Oryzias latipes: one gene and its partners. The protein of the gene in region 4 interacts with the protein of the main gene of each other region in a pairwise test. Links are inferred from orthologs where the notes say so. Each region holds a gene or a part of one and is shown on either strand. Other genes may lie near its edges.

Evidence for each region.
Region 1: the proteins of khdrbs3 (region 4) and inpp5d interact in binary tests that used the Homo sapiens proteins (3 or more experiments, as listed by UniProt). The two-hybrid records come from large-scale screens. The link is inferred for Oryzias latipes from reciprocal best matches to the Homo sapiens genes KHDRBS3 and INPP5D.
Region 2: the proteins of khdrbs3 (region 4) and psmf1 interact in a two-hybrid assay, tested with the Homo sapiens proteins (2 studies listed by BioGRID and IntAct). The link is inferred for Oryzias latipes from reciprocal best matches to the Homo sapiens genes KHDRBS3 and PSMF1.
Region 3: the proteins of khdrbs3 (region 4) and siah1 interact in a two-hybrid assay, tested with the Homo sapiens proteins (3 studies listed by BioGRID and IntAct). The link is inferred for Oryzias latipes from reciprocal best matches to the Homo sapiens genes KHDRBS3 and SIAH1.

The regions. Positions count from the first base shown.
Region 1 is NC_019862.2:27,116,308-27,120,490, reverse strand, and holds the start of inpp5d (phosphatidylinositol 3,4,5-trisphosphate 5-phosphatase 1), read right to left. Parts: upstream 2,801-4,183; 5' UTR 2,628-2,800; coding exon 2,476-2,627; intron 2,039-2,475; coding exon 1,975-2,038; intron 55-1,974; coding exon 1-54. UniProt on the Homo sapiens protein: Phosphatidylinositol (PtdIns) phosphatase that specifically hydrolyzes the 5-phosphate of phosphatidylinositol-3,4,5-trisphosphate (PtdIns(3,4,5)P3) to produce PtdIns(3,4)P2, thereby negatively regulating the PI3K (phosphoinositide 3-kinase) pathways.
Region 2 is NC_019863.2:32,757,249-32,761,378, forward strand, and holds the start of psmf1 (proteasome inhibitor PI31 subunit), read left to right. Parts: upstream 1-1,330; 5' UTR 1,331-1,435; coding exon 1,436-1,564; intron 1,565-2,080; coding exon 2,081-2,227; intron 2,228-3,344; coding exon 3,345-3,427; intron 3,428-3,594; coding exon 3,595-3,783; intron 3,784-4,116; coding exon 4,117-4,130. Other genes in the region: pigu (phosphatidylinositol glycan anchor biosynthesis class U protein), read right to left, coding at 434-563. UniProt on the Homo sapiens protein: Plays an important role in control of proteasome function. Inhibits the hydrolysis of protein and peptide substrates by the 20S proteasome. Also inhibits the activation of the proteasome by the proteasome regulatory proteins PA700 and PA28.
Region 3 is NC_019864.2:25,286,456-25,290,657, forward strand, and holds the start of siah1 (E3 ubiquitin-protein ligase SIAH1), read right to left. Parts: upstream 2,801-4,202; 5' UTR 1,878-2,800; coding exon 1,760-1,877; intron 251-1,759; coding exon 194-250; intron 1-193. UniProt on the Homo sapiens protein: E3 ubiquitin-protein ligase that mediates ubiquitination and subsequent proteasomal degradation of target proteins.
Region 4 is NC_019869.2:24,808,127-24,812,082, reverse strand, and holds the start of khdrbs3 (KH domain-containing, RNA-binding, signal transduction-associated protein 3), read left to right. Parts: upstream 1-1,156; 5' UTR 1,157-1,361; coding exon 1,362-1,452; intron 1,453-3,956. UniProt on the Homo sapiens protein: RNA-binding protein that plays a role in the regulation of alternative splicing and influences mRNA splice site selection and exon inclusion. Binds preferentially to the 5'-[AU]UAAA-3' motif in vitro.

The sequences.
Region 1 (4,183 bases), on a different chromosome or scaffold from region 4:
GTCCACCAGGTCATTCAGCAAAGCAAAGAACCTAATAGGAACCCCATCTGATGCCTGCAAAAAAAGTAAATATATAATCTTTTTTTCCCCCATAGTTTTAGCCAGTAACCTTTAAAAAATATCAACATGTCTTACATTTTCATACAATTCTGAAGACTTGGGATATTATGCAGAAATGATGGAGGATATGTAACACATGTAGCCAAGACATTTGAATAAAAACAGTTAAAATAAATACATTTAAAAGGTCTCAAAGGTGCATTAAAACCCTGTTAATCTTTTATGAGAACCCCAACAACTGTCCCGAATGTGTCTCAATCCAGAAATCAAAATGGTATTGCACAACAAAACTCTCACCGTTAGTAAGCTCTTTTTAGAAGACAAGACCCAGTTACATTTTTCTAATAAGCCGCATTCAGGGTCAGACAAACGGCATATACCAATTTTGTTCCAAATACTTCAGCGTGTAAACATCTTATTTCCAGAAATACAACCATCCAAGTACTCATTGTATTTTCTGATGTTTTTATGACCAACCATATCGTCCAAATTGTTCTGGGAGATGTTTAAACAGTACAAATATTATGCAACATTGTTGTTAAAAACCACAATGGTTATAATTTTCCAGGCTGGGATGAAAAAGTTTCTTTTTTGACAGAGTGTTACTCGGAACAGCCTTGGACACAGATAAGCCAGAGTATCGCTGTCACTGCAAATCATGCAAACGCATCACAGTACCCTCAACTTTTTATTCAATGCAAGCAAAGGAATTGTGATAACAGTGACAAATTGCTCCAGTTGTTTGAGGTTTGAAGGCATTTCTCCTCTTCAACAACAGATCAAGGGGATTTAGATAAATACAAACAGAATGTCATTTCAGAATAGTCCAGTGTTTTTAGTTGGGACTTCTGGTCAATCACCTGTTGGAAGAACCACTAGCTAAAGCCAAGCCTTCAGGGATATTTGCCTCCAAGATGCCTTGATAGGCCTAAGATTTATTTTAAAAACTCTGGGACAGATGCACCAACACAGCCCAGACCATTACCAACCCTTCTCCATGTTTCACAATAGGGACAGTCTATTTTCTTATTCTGCTTTATTTTTGTTTGTAAATAAAATGTACTTCTCCATAAAGCTTCAGTTTAGTCTAATCTGTCTGAAGGTCGTTCTCTCTACAGCTCTACCAAACATGGCGTTGTAATTCTCAGTTTTGTTTTAAAATGTCAATCAAAGAAATTGACACCTTTGAGGTGCTTTTTATCTTTAAAGACACGTGTGGAGGAGCCCCCACTCTCTGCATATATGCTTCACACCCAAGGCCCTCCTCCTTTGAGGCAAATGTCCAACTCGAAGCTTTTTACAGCTAGTTTTCAAAGTCCTAGTTTTCAAAAAGATAGAATGCTCAATGACTTACAACATCTCCATTATAGGTTTCCAATGTAAAAACCAACACAATGGTAGCTTTAATTCAAAGCAGGAAAGCCATAGACAAGCCTAAAATAGGAAACTCACCCTCCTGTTGAACTGTTTTTTTTTTTTCATGTTTTACATCACACAAAGACGTGTCACAGATCTACTGTGAAAGAAAACCTAGCACTGCTCAGATGGCCAAAATCTGGTTCTTGTTTCAAAGAGCTGCTGTACTTTCCTTCATCCTAACCTTCATCTCCAACGTTGCACAAAGCTAACCTGATTTCAGTGTAAAACTCTGCTTTCTCTCAGGTTCAGGACTTCTTCTGTTCTGTCAAACAGGATCTACTGTCCATCTCACTTGAAATTCAGAAAGTGTAAACTTCCTTGATTGTTTAAAGGAACTCTTACCCTAACTACAGTATCACTCATTTAGACCTTACAAGAATAGAAAATGCTGTGTGCCAGCAGATGCTAGGAGAGACATATCACATAATCTGATACACCTAATCTAAGGTTTATCAAAGGGAAGAATCTGTCGCTTGTGTCAAAGCGTCCACCCACCTGAACAGAGAGCTTTTTGTCCTCGTTTGGAAGGATTCTGTATGTGTAAACACATGTCTGGAATCTGGTCAGGGGGAGAAGTGCAAATGTTTGTCATTGGTATATGACAAATGCAACATGAATTCAGTATAAGTGAAAAATGATCTCTGGGGCGTTTAAATTAAGGTCGGCCAAATAAACGCGCTAAGACAAAGTGTTGCAGAAGGCACAGGCTGGTGCTTCTTAAATATGGCACACAATGAAAAGTAAAAAGGGAACTAGTTTTGGATTGCAAAGTGTAAAAAATAGCCTAAGCATGGGATGTGAAACTGTGAAAGACATCAGAGGCCTTGTACTTTAAATCGTCTGAGTTAAATGCAGAAATACCTAAAAATTCTGCAAAAAATACACAAATTCTTTCCACAAAGGATAAACAGTTTAAGACACACTGTAAAACGTCACTGGTAAAGCACTTTTAACCAAACAGTATACATTCATGATGGTTAAATATTGATAACTTACAAAACACAGAGGGCATAAGCTCCCTGTACGGACTCGCTGTCCCGGATAAGGAAGCTCCCATCTCTTGCTGTATTGGAGAGAAGATTTTCGGCTTTGGATCGGGTTATATTGCCATGGTACCAAGGTTGATAACCTGGCATCTTGCTTGCCATCAAAGAGCTTGAGCTCCGGTGTTTTGCATCAGCTCTTTGAAAATAAAATAAAATAAAATAAACACTAGCTTTTCTCTCTGGCCATTTTATTCTTCTTCGATTTCTCTCATCTGATCCCCCTCTGCTTCGTCAAGCTGTAAGAGGAAGCTGCTGCGAGCTCTGCTCTGAACTTCCTCATTGGTCTGGTTGCAGAGAGGAGGGCAGTGGTGCCTTCAGTTTGTCTGTTGTATGACAGGTCCCCTGAGCTGTAAAATGCAAATGCAGGCCTTGGCATGCACTGGACCAGTCCTCCTTAAAATATTCTAATTATTAACCAACACACCCAACTCTGAAAATAATCAAACTAACTCTCTAAATCGCACTTAATGAAAAGGAGATGTCGTATGCAGAAACAGGAAGTAAAATAGGCTTTGAATTTGTAAGTTTTCACATTTTTAAGTTGATATTTGGCACTTATTAGTATGAAAATAAGGCACGTTAACCCAGAGGTCTGCATCTGTGTGCTTTCAATCATTTGAATTAGAAGGCTTTGCAAGTTCTCTAAAGCCTACGGGTTCAGGAAATAGGGTGGGTTGTCGTGTTCATGTGATGGACAGGAAGTTTTACAGAAGTAAGACAAAAAAAAAGTCTGCTCACAAACCACAGTGAAGGTCACATGACATGGAAACAGAATTACAGTTTCAAGTCACTGCACCTCCAGAGCTGCAGACGCCATTCTCTTCACATGGTTTTGTCACTTCTTTTTTGAGCAAAGCTGCCGTGAAAAATATTCAATTGATGTTTGTTCTCAGTGCAAAAAGGGAATTCTTTCATTGGGGGTTTTAATGGTAACACTCCAGTAGCAGCCAGTTTAAAAAAAGAAAACAAAATGAGTCAAAATCAAAGAGCATTACCTGTTTTACTCCAAAAAACTGACATCAAAACATTCACATTTTACAGATCTGAGTACTATTCTTGAGCAAAGCTTTGATGTGAAAACGGCATTGTTTTAAAGGAAAACAAAGCAACTAAAAAGTTTGATGCTGATAAATGTATTTACATGGTACATTTGTGAATGTAAAGGTTTTGCCTCTTTACGTTGTTTGCTTTTCTTTTGAGAGAACTTATTCCAGTTGTATAGTAATTATATAAATCACCCTCAGGAGTCCTTAGCCTTGTTTGGATCTTCAAATCATTGGTCACGCAGCAAAAATATTTAATAAAATTTTGGATTTCTTAGTTCATCAGAAGTCTCAAAACGTCCAAAATTCCAACTTGTGCAGTAAGAGTCCAGTTTATCCACAATTTCATTGAAACTTTCTTCTGGAAAAGGAGGAAACAAATAGCGGTAGTAGTAAGTTACCACCAAATTAACCATATTACACAGAAAATACACATATAAATGATAACGATTTTCCTGTGGTCCAAATGCTTCAGATGTATAGTCAGTTGATTGCAGAACCTGTAGAACATCCCAGGAGTTGAGGACATCAGAACCAGCCTACTGTGAATCTTTTTCATGGCACATTTGTAGCTTTTGGTCCTTCCACTGGAATCCTGCTGCACATACGTTAGAG
Region 2 (4,130 bases), on a different chromosome or scaffold from region 4:
CAACAGATCAGATGATCAGGAACATGGATGAACCCAAACATGTTCTTCATCCATCAGAACCTGCAGGACAACCCAACAGCTCCTCTGCAGAACCTCCTGTCGTTACTTTGACTGAAGTCACTTTCAGTTAATGAAGGCGTTACAGCTCTGACAGTGTCATATTCAAATGTAATAGATTACTTGTACGAGTAACAATCGATGATAATAATCAGAGATGAGTTCCTTCAGTTCGGGGTTTTTTTGGGGACCAAAAATCGGATCAGAGTCCGAGTCTGACACCGTTTCACCTTCGTCGACCATTCTCCAAACATTTACAGATTTCTTTTGTGACAGATTTTGTCGCCGAACCGGTTTACCGGCGCAGCGGGGAGGCGCGCGGGTGCGAGGCGTGTGTGACCGGTGCGCTCCGGACCCCCGCCGGCGGCCCGCTCACCTCTTTTCCAGGCAGTAATCGGTGACACCACCTCCACCCTCTCTGAAATCAGCTCCGCCAAACTGGACCGGAATAGAACGGCACGGACCGTCACGGCGACAATCATTAGGAGCGTCAAGGGAGCCGCCATCTTCGCGAGGAAGCTCTCTCGCCCTGCGCTCGAGGTGCATGCTGGGAAGTCAAGTTTATTCCGTCTCGTCAGGAAAACATTTACCTCCAACCTCCACAGATTTACAGTCCAAGCAGCGATAAGGAGCGAGTTTAATAATAATAATAATAATAATAATAATAATAATAATAATAATAATAATAATAATAATAAAGGAACATATTTACAAAAAGACTATTTAAAACGCATAATTCAAGCAATTAAAATCAAGATTAGAATTTTGTTTTAATCAAATATTGTATTTAATTTTATGTGTAAAGGTAAATAAACACATTTTAAACAACTTGAAAAGGAGTTTAATCTCAACAGAGGAGTTTTCATATGATCTTGTTGTTAGTTCTAATTTTGCATATGCTGAATATACATAAAGACGCTGTAATTTTAAACAATAATATAGCACATATTACAGGCGTTTTTCTTTAATCACCCCGGAATGCGGAATGTTTTGTCATTTGCGTGTTTTCAGTCGAAAGATTTATGTGACGGATCAAAACAAAACTGCAACTCGCCGTCTAGTTGGAATAAACTATTTTACTGTTTCCGGGGGCGTATTTAAAAATAAAATAAAATTAACGCTTTTGTGGGCCTGTGTTAGCGTCACGTTGAAGTAGATTATCGTTGTTCGTTTTAAAAATATCTGATTACTAAATTGTGACTGTATCACGTCTACAATACTATTTTAGCGTGTCGTATGTGTTTTCTGCAATCCTCTAAAAGCCACGTGCTTTTACTTTGAAAATCCCTGCAGGAAGTCGCTGTGGTTGTTATGGAAGCGACGACTCTGCGATTTTTGTTTTCTGTTCTTGTTCTGTGCTGTTGGTTTGTGAGACAACATGGCAGGCTTGGAGGTGTTGTACACCTGCGTCACAGGTAGCCTGACTTGTCCTCAGGACGCCCTCGTGTGTTTCGTTCACTGGGAAATGATCAAGGGAGGATACCGGTGCATCGGTTCCGGAGACGAGGTGGGTCGAACTAGCTAACTTAAGCAGAACCAGAAGAGACAAACCAACAACACATTCTGGTTTTATTTAAACACATTTAAGATACGAGACGAACCAAGTTAATGCTGTTTGTTTACTTTTAGATCGTAGTTTGTTGACAGCCTCTGAAGTCCCTCTGAGTTACAGTTTTGATTTAAACTCTCAGTCTGTGGGAATAAATGTTAGCTTTGCTACATTAGCAGGAGGATCAGGATGGAAACTGAAACTGTCCTGCAGGCGATTCAGAGGAAACCTCCGCTGAGTTGGTTCTTCTTCCTCCATCTAGGTGACCTTTGACCTCCTAAAGTTCTGCATTGAGTCATGTTTTAGTCCGATTTTTAGTCTCGTGCAGTTGGCACGCGCCATTTGGTCTCATACTAAACAAATGGACTTTCCGCAAAAAGTGTCACGTCATCTTTAGCGCGGGGGGGGGGGCACAGAAGCGTTTGAAAGAGAGGGTGTCTCACCCCCCCCCCCCGCCCCCGTCCCTCCCCCCAGCCCCGCAGCGGTGACCGGAAGTCGGAGCTCCTGCCTGCAGACTGGAGCAGCAACAAGGAGCTGTACAGTCTCCGCTACGAAGGCGCGGACGCAAAGATGCTGCTGAAAGCCGTCCCCGTGGACTCTGCTGTGATATTCAACCTGATGGTAGGCATGGGGGGGGGTCCTTCAGGACATGAGGGGGTGGGCACTCTGCTGGAATGAGGGAGAACGAAGCATTAAATGCAAAAAGTCTGCAGCGAACCTCACATCTGAGACGACAGAGAAACAAATCTGAAATTTAAAAACACAGAGGCCGCTTTTAGGTTTCATGGCAACATTTGGCTCGTTTTAGAACATCAGACGTGTTTTGATGATGTAGGGAGCACACAAAGGCGTTATTTATCATCTCAGAACTGTTGAAAGGTGAAGATTTAGTGGAATAGCTTCAAATTAAAAAAATAGAGAGCAGTCAGAGATTTTAACAAAGGTTTTCTGAATGAAGATCAGATGGCTTTAGGTTTGAACTTTGATGGTTTTCTTTTATTTTGATTTCCCAGCAGAAGTTCTGAAAAGGTCTTCAAAAAGAAACTTAAACTAGAAGGAGCTGCATTTCTAGAAGAAAATGCCGGTTAAATGCTGTACTGCTGAATGAAAATGAAACTTAAAGGGGAATAACGGGCAAAAAATAAAGAAATGATCAAAGTTGACCATAAATAAAGTGAAAACAGCACAATAACAAAAATGTTTGTGAAAAATGCCAGAGCCGGGTATCAAACCAGCGAGCTTCTGCACCAAGGATTCCCCATTTATTTAAATGGAGGCAGAAATCCTGGAATATCTGGAAAAGTTCAAGGATTTGAAGGACCAAAAGTCACAGCTGGAAAAAGCTGAAAGAGCCGAACATTTGAATAGATGGATGGTTGAAATAGATGAGTAACTGTAGAAGATAAGCTGCAAAACATGGCTGAAGATACTAGAATAAAGAGAAACAGGAAAACAATAAATATTTCTGAAGCAGAAACCTGGTGAATATATTATGTGTAGTTGTGCAGTGAGTCGGTACAGCCCTCTGTCTGTTTCTTCAATCTTTATTATGGTGGCATGTTATTTTTCTGTTCCGTTCACGTCCTGCAGACATGTGGACTCGTGTTGTATTGAACATGAGTCCACGCGTCACGAACGTCACAGAAACTCTGAACAATCGTCGTTCAGAAATGCTGACGTCAGATTCCAGCTGAAGGTAACGGCGGTGTGACGGCGTCTGCTTTCTGTGTGTCTGAAGAACTGCAGCACGCAGCAGGTGACCGACCTGACCGTGAACATGAAGGATCACGTGGACGCCGACCATCTGGACACGTTTGACAGGTCGGTGTAAAAAAACGTCCCCCACAGGAATCAGCAGTTCTTCCTGTTTTCAGTCCCTCAGGGTCACAGAGTCACAGGTGAGGAGGGCAGACCATAAGAGCTGCGGGTGCAGAGGTAGCAACCCTGAATCTGGATGAAATGATTGACTGAAGGCTTTTATTCTGAAGGGTTTTCATAAATGGAGACGGTTTGTCAGAGAAGGTGAGGGCTCAGCTGCTGCCCCCCCAGGAGAAGAAAGCAGGGAGGAGGAGTTTGCGGGAGGATGAGGACGAAGCAGGAGGAAGGAGGAGGAGAGAGGAGGACGACCCTCTACGCATTCCCAGCAGACGTCCTGGTCCGGGAACGCAGCATCCATGGTTGGGAAATTCTGGCATTGATTTGATCACAGCGATGGGATAAAGAAGTCTTTATTCTCTCTTTCTAGAATATTTCTATATTCTGAAAGTTAAAAGAAATGACGTTAAAGTAAAAATCAGGAATAAATTCCTGTTATTTTCTCACAGAACTGAATGAGTTGTTAGATCCGTCTGAACTTTAAAGGATAAAAGCAGAAACAAGTCTATCTAAAGATGAGCTTTTATTTTGAAAGGTTTATTCTGTCAGGAAGGAAACAGTCATCACGGATGCTGTGCTGCTCCTGATGAAGGTGAGGTGATTCTTCATCATTTGATGAACGCTTTGTTTTTCAGGCGTGAGCCTGCAG
Region 3 (4,202 bases), on a different chromosome or scaffold from region 4:
ACGGCGTGGGCCGGGCCCTGCAGCGGGACGGCTGATCAGCCCGACAGAAAGGTCTGAGCCCACACACACAAAACTACAGCAGACATGGGAAAACCAACAAAGCTGCCATCGATCCTGTAAATGTAAAGCAAATCCCCAACAGATCCACTCAGACACAGACAGACAGACAGATTGACAGACAAGACAGACTGACCTTCGTCCATAAGATTTCCAAATAAGGCTTCTGTCTGCTCCTGAAATGTTTGGACCTCTGAAAGAGAAAACAAAGGAAGTGCACATGAGAACCCGACAGGCTGGTTCTGAACGTTCTGCTTTGTTCTCCAGTCAGACACAGAAGTGGGCTCGGATTGTTGTGATGTTCCGGCAGACGTGAGGGCCGGATGGCGCCGAGGCGGTGTTTGATGGGCAGGACACAGAGCGTGCTCACTTTAGATTTCTGCTGTGTGGACGCTTTGCTGCAGAGCCACTCATTCATATTTCAGTAAGTCTGGTCCATTTCTGGACTAAAGGTTGACGAGTGAAACCCGTTTGTCTTCAGCTGAACAAAATCTACACAAAGCAAATTATTCCTGGACACGATTGCATCACATTTGATTTGAGGTTTCTGTTAAAACGACGTACAATGTCTCCTTCTGTGTGGAAACAGAACTCGCAAACACAGGAAGCTGCTTTTTGAAACTAAAAATTCATCTCCACATAAACCGTCTCGTCTACAAACATAGGCAGAAAACAGGGCTACGGTGTGGGAACAGGTAGACGGATAAGACCATCGATGGTTCGGGGCGTGAAGGTGAACACCAACGATGAAGGAAACCATAAACCATAAACATCTTCCTGTCTTTGTTCTGCCAATGGTTTGGTTGCAAACAGACCAAAAAGTCTGTTTCACCAACAGCTTCTGCCTCCATGAACCTCATGGAGGCTCAACAATCTTTAAACGCATCGCAAAAGAAAACCATTTCCCTTTTAGAAGCTGAAGAAATATAATCTAGAAATAGTTTCATTAATTAAGAGATTGGATATTTTTCTCAAAAGATTGGAAATTATTATTATTTTTAATTGATGTTATTTAAGAAACCAAGCAGAAACCTAAATACAATGTTGAGTAAATACAAATTGTACATTTTTTTGTATATATTGAATCCTTCAACTATGTGATGAATCTTTTGACAGAAAACAAGAACATCTTTTGTGCATCACAGAGCGAGAGGCGGAGCCTCAGAGATGGAGTCGTCCTACTTCCTGATTGGAAAAGAACTCAGGAAAATAACTAATATTTAATTTTAAAAGAAATGTTCTTTTGTGTCCCAAAATATATCATCATATACATGGATATATATATTTTTTACTATAAAAGGCTTAAGAAGAGCCTGGTATAGGCCCTTAAAGGACCAAAACATAAACACACAAAATGAATATTTAAAAAGCAAATTAGTTTTAATAAATGTTCAAAAGTGCTATTTGTGAAGAAAACATTCCCGTCGTTCCCTTTTCTCTTCTATGATAAGAAATTAAATATCCTGAATGACAAAACTAAACAGAGGAACATCAGGACAGGTGAAGGGGGATTCAACACAAACGTTAATCCACGTTAAAACAGTGCAACATAATGTACGCAGGGAAACGGTTAAAAGCATCTTCTGTGCTCGCCCACGTCACGCACAGCATCGGTGTGCCAACACGGCCCCCTGCACACAAAGTGCCAATTCAAGCCACCTTGGGCAGAAACATGGAGCTGGTGAGGATCGACGCGCTTCACCTTTAGTGTTGTGCACATTCCTGGTTGCTACGCATGAGAGCAGCCTGAACAGGGAGTTCCAGGGTGGAGCTTGTGGAGCTACACTTGTCTGCTTGGATTTCACTTGGACCACAGACATAGAGGTAAAGCATGTATGCAGCCCCTCTGTGCCACGCTGCTCAGGCCTTTTCCATGGAAACCACACACTGCTGCTGGAGCTCTACGCATTCCTCCAAATACTGGATCATATTTCCCCTCCTGCCACCCCCGCCCCCGCCCCCACCCCTCTCCCCTTGGAAAGTACAAGCTTCTGAGCGGCTGGAGTTCTGCAGCAGATCCAGAACGAGGGTTGTGTCCAAACAAACACCAGCAGATCCTTAACAGCGGGAAAACGTCAGAGTCCAGGGTGTTTGAGCGACTCCACTGCAGAAGCAACAGAAGGAGCCCGGACAGCAGCCAGGCAGGCTAAAGGGTTAATCAACTCGCCAGTCTGCACAGGAAACGGGAGGCAGTTTAGGAGAGTCATTAGAGCTTCACCAACACTGGGTAATTATCCAGTTTCTCCACTCAGGAACTATTTGACATTCCACGGGGCGGTTGGTTAGCAGGTATAGAAAGAGGAGTCAAAAAAAAGTGCAAGTTTGCAAAAGAAAAATCCTCAAAACAAGAGAGCCCCAGCTCAGAAACCTAACCTTGGCTCCCCGAGAGGAAATGAAAGAAGAAGAAAAAAATCCAGTGTGAAGTCTCCCCCTTCACTTTCTTCTCGGTTTGGATTTCAGTGATGTTCTTTGTCCTGGGGAGCGTGGTCGGTGTCAGCGCCACTGGCTGTGTTTGTCTGAAACACAGAGCTAAAGTCCGCATCCAGCGCGAGTCTTTATCTTTGTCTCTGCAGGCTCAGCCCTCACATGTCTCAGCTCAGCTCCAGCTGCATCTCCCTGCTGCTCCTGCAGCCTCGTGTCCTCTGAAAGCCTGCAGTTTGCCTTCTTTCTCCAGGCTGGACATTCTTCCTCCCTCTGCCCCCTCCCTCCGCCTCACTGTGGTTGTGCAAGTCTCAGATTTCAGCTGGTATAGCTGTAAGCTGCAGCACCAGCTGACCCCTCTGACTTCATACCTCCTTTCTCCTTTAGTGCAGCCCGTTTCTCCTCTGTCCACGTTTTAAATGTGAGCCAGAGAACACAGGGCTGCGTTCTCTGGCTCACATTTGCTCTTCAGCATAACTTACTTACACACTCTACAGCAGCGTCTCACCTTCTCAAAGTGCTCTTCCTGTTTTTGAGAAGCACTCTAGGTATGTGAAAAGCTCGCTCAGCGTTTACCGTTCGGAGCATCGATGCTGAAGATGCAGCACATCCCAGAGTCAACATCTGCTCACGAGAGGACAAAGAGGAGAAGCTTTTCTTTGTGCTTCATTTCCACATGGACCAAATCTGTGGAATTCCTTGCCCACCGTATGCTAAGCCGGAAGGATTTTTTCGCCCCCTCAGACTCAGTTATTTTCACAAATCTGATAAGAGATCAAACACGTCTGCAGCTGCATCAAAGACGGAGCGTGTCTGCTTTCAAAATCTCTGTCTGGATGTTCAGGCAGCAGTTTTTGGGAGGTCTGCAGTCAAACCTGCCAGTGGCTAGCAGACAGTGTTGTGAGAAAACAATTCTCCTGCTACATCTTAACATCTTGGCTTCAGTGCACATTAAAGTTTCCTTTATGCCAACGCAGAAACCCTGAATTCTGATTTTAAGTAATACTTTTAACAAGACTGCATTAGCTTAATCTAAAAAAGCTTTTTGAACGTGCCAACTCTTTTTACAAATTCAGCTCTTAAGCTAATATACAAAAAAAAAGAAGCACAAAAGGGACTAAATGTCATCGACACAGCAAGTTTTCATAAAGTTCCAGCAGGACCGGAGAACTCTGTAGAACATCAGCTGTTCCCTCGACCAGACCACTCATAGGAACAACCTGACTCCTTAGGTTGGGGGTCTCTTCTGGGCAAAGGGTCACTTGGTACCCAGACACAGAAAGAAAAAACAAATTTCCATTTTAGTCATTAGTGATTTTGAAAGCCATTTCATTTGGGAAAAACTACCAGATTCTCTCCGTGACACTTTATGCATGTAAAGTCGCTCGGTCACATGTCTTCCTACATGTGTGACCTTCCTAAAGAAGCCACTCAGGCGGTAAAACCAAAATAACCCCAAGATGACAAAAGAAACTCAAACCGAATTATTTGGACAATTTCTGCACAGTATAAGAATCAGAGAGATGACTTCAAAAATCAACAAGAAAGCTGCATTTAACAGATAATATCAGGAGTCTTAATTAAAATATGGATTTATTGGGACAGGTTGCTCTCACGCAGTGAGCCCTGTCTTATGTTACAAAGACACTGCTGATAAAATTGGACACAGCAGATTCCCGTTTATTATTATATTTAGAAAATATTTGTTATGGTGGTGGTCATAT
Region 4 (3,956 bases):
ACAATCAATCCCCCTTTTGCAGAAAGGGGTCGTACGGGTTGGATTACAAACGACGCTGAGCACTCCTCCTGCTGTAAAAACAGCTAGGATCAGTCAATTTCTATCTGAAAACCAGAGTTGAAACTGATGAACGATCTCTTTAGAGCGGGAAAAGAGATGCAGGGGTGGAGCGGCCCTCGACCTCTGAAGCTGATTAAATCAGTCCAGCAGTCTGCCAGTCTGCTGGAAGACAGTCTCCCATCTTAATGTAATATTGCTCTTTATTTGATCTGCACCACTAAAGCACTGCATTAGATATGATATTAAGCTCTATTATTACCTAATGTTGCCCTGCAGGTTTCTAAATGTTATTAAGTTTGAAGACTGTTGCCTCATCATGCAGTTCGGCACAGATGCTGCTCTGATCAGCTTTGTTTTTGTCTCATTTTCCCTCCTTTTGCTTTAATGAAAGTTTCTGGTCTTGCCCAGAAAGTAATAATTTATTTAGCTTCTGATTTTCAATTTGTTTCCCAAACCAAGAAGTGTTAAAGGAAACAGAAAGCAGCTCATAAGAGGCTCTTCATTCCAAATGTCATTGTTTTTTTAAAGCCTGACAATAAATCCATTTTTCCTGCCTTCACTGAAACGAGTGACTGTGGAAAAATCCTTGAGTCTGGTGTCTGTTCCCACAAAATACAGTCATTCTCTGGTTTTTCAATGTGACTCATATTTGCAGCTAAATCACAAAAACACATTTTTAATATTATTCTCATACAAACATGTTTTTTTCTTTTAATTAATGCTTTAACTTGGCTAAAATGATTGGACAGTCTATTTTTTAAAACGTGTTTACAAAGTGCGTTAGTGTGTGTCATCTCTGAAAGTCTTGTTCTCCTCCTAAACTCTGTCTTTTTTCTGTGTTTCATTAAAGTCACTTCACCAACATTCCTTTGGAATAAGACGCCCCCCAGAGTAAGCCTTGGGGGGGGCCAAGACGTGTTTCATCATTTATTTACACTTTAATCAAATAAAAGCATTTTTTTATTGACTTTTTTGTTAAGACGTCTCTTTGCAGAAAGATGAAGCCCCGCCCCTTACACGAGCGACATGTCGCCGCGGACCAATGGCCGCTCGCGCCTGCCTCCTTCCTCGCAGGTGGGCGGGGGGCGTGGGGGGGTCTGTATGCGGCGCGAGGCGGAGCGGCGGCAGTCGGACAGGATGAAAGCTGCCGCGCTCTTTTAAGCGCGCGTTCTGTGTGCGCGCGAGGACGGAGGGATGCTTTTGTAGCGCGAGCGCGGAGACAGCGGAGCTCGCGGGTTCGTCACATTCTCAGCTTTTGTTTGAACACCTGAGGAGGAGGAGGAAGAGGAGGAGGAGCGCAGATGGAGACCGACAAGATCCTACCGGAGCTGCAGGCGGAGAAGGAGGCGCTGGACCCGGCCTTCCAGCACTGTCTGCGGCTCCTGGAGCGAGGTGAGTCCGGGCTTCGCTCTGACCCCCCTCACAGCTCACAGCCTCCCGCGATGAAGGAGGCTCCTCTTCAGTCAGAATGTTCTAAAGTTTAGTCAAACCCGCCCGCCGTGAGGCGAAAGTCTGTGGATGAGGCTGACATGATGATCCACGCACGAGCGCGAGCCCGGAGTGTGCTGTGACAGGGCTGCGTGGATCCTGAGGGGGGATGATGGGGAAGCTGCTCTGTGGACGTGGTCCTCTGTGCTGCTGGAGGGTGGGGGGGCTCCTGTTCTCAGTCCAGATGCTTTTGGCTGGAAAGCCAACTCACCAGAGTCTGGAGGCGTGTCTGCCACGATGCTCCTCACATGCAGCCGGTCTGGCTCCATTCCGGCTCGGCTCTTCTGGGTGTTAAACTGGGGGGTTTGACTGGGTATCAAACCGTCCCTCAGAACCAGAACATCTGCTCACACTTTCCGATTCTTCCCCCAGCAGCAAGAGTTACTAGGAGGAATGAAATGTTACAGATGCATCTGCTCCCCCTGGAAGTGTCTCTGGTTTCCATCTGACCTTTGAGCTGCAGGTGCGACTCCTGAGCTTCTCTGCTCAGCAGCACTACGTCCACATGCACACCAGCGGCGGCGTTTCAATAGAATAAGCCATCGCTCTGTTTATGAACATGGATGCGTTTCAGGAAGTTTCCCACAGTTTGTTCATGTTCAGGAAAACCCGCCGTCCTCCAAAGAAGTGTCAGACTCGTGTTTCAAAAGGCTGCACACATTTGTCAGCTCTGTGAGTGGAAATGCGGTTATTTTTCCGTGTGATGATGTGAAGTTTCAGGACAGGGGCACAGCTGAGCTGAGCTTCTGGGCTTCATGTGATCCTGCAGCTCGAAGAACAGAAGCGAGTGCTGCTGGGAAACAGAAACCAGCTTTGCTTTTGGAGATTGTTTTGTCGTTTGTCATTTTTTTGGACTGTCATTCAGGCGTGAGGAGAGTGAGCAGAACTTCTCCTCCTCCTCCTCCCTTGACTCCTGTTCCCTCCTGATCTTTGCTCAGAGGTTGGCAGAAGTCATGGGTGAGGTTTTGAGAGTAATCAGATTCCACGCTGTGTGAAGTTTGGCGTGAACAGCACACCACAAACTGTAAATCCTGTTATCTGTCTGGTATGCGGCAGATGGAACGCTGCGCTGCCTAATGATGTTTCTTTTTGCCGGCGTTGACTTCTTGAGCAGATTGTGCAGCTGGCAGGAGAAGCGCGGAGAAGAACCGGAGCGACCGGCGTGACAGCTCCTGGACGCTGCTCCTCTGCGGGATGTGGATGCAGACCTTTGAGGTGTGGAGAAGCAGCAAGTGCTTCTGGTATTCAGTTAGATCCACCTCTGATACCAGAAGACGTCTGCCGAGGTCTGAACCGTCCCTCCCCTCAAAAGCCAAGATTGGCCTCCGCCTGCACAAAGGGCCACGGCTGCAGCGCCGCGCTCCTGTCCGGACCTCCAGGAAAGCTTGTTAGGAAAGCCCTGCAGGCTGCGAACTGGGAAAACGCTGTGAAAGAGCTCCCTGCAGCTGCGCCTGCTCACGCATGCAGGTGCGCCTGCAGCTGCGCCTGCTCACGCATGCAGGAGCGCCTGCTCACGCATGCAGCTGCGCCTGCTCGCGCATGCAGCGCACAGCAGACGCGCCGGCTGGATTGTCCTCGTTAGGTGGAAAAGCTTTGCAGGGAGAGGAAGAGGCTGCGGTCGGGGCGGCCGATCATTTGGCTTAAATGCTACTTTTGGGAGTTCTGTTGGGATGAACCTGAAGAAGCAGCAGATGCATCGTTTCCTTTCTAAGAAAGAGCTGCAGATAAAAGAAAAGGACATTCATGAATCCTAAACACTTCTAAAAGTCAATAAATGCAACATCCGTTTAAAAATGATCAATAAAAGTAATACAAATGTTTTAAAAAAGCAGTATACCTCAATAGTATTAAGTTTTTGTAATGGGACTAAACCGTTTCAAAGGATCCAAATCTTCCTAAATGAGAATTAAAATCTAGAAACAAATTTCGACTGTTATCGATCTGCTAAGACGCTCTTCGTCTGTAAAACATCCGAAACGTTTCAAATATCCAACGTGGAAAACTTGGAGAGAAAAGGAGAAAAGCTTTTCTGCAGATGGAAATATCCCAGTTTGGGACCAGCAGCAGGTTTTTACTTCACAGAAATCAGCATAAATGTTTTTATTTTTTTTACGGCGTTTCTCCTTTTTCTGACCGGTCCTCCTCTATCCAGTAGATCCGGTTGACTTTGGCGCTCGAATGAGGTCGAGCCGAGACAAACCCGGCCTTTAAAGATCAGCAGAGCTTCAGAAAGTCCTTCCGTATCCAGATGACGCATCTGTGAAGTCTCCATCGGAAGCTCATCTGTTACAGATAGGCAGAGCTTCAGCCGGCTGAAGGTTTCCTTACCGCAGATGGTTGTCTGTCGTCACGGCAACGTTTGATCCCATCAGAGGCCTTCCTCTGGTTTACTGCCTCCTCCGCTGGTT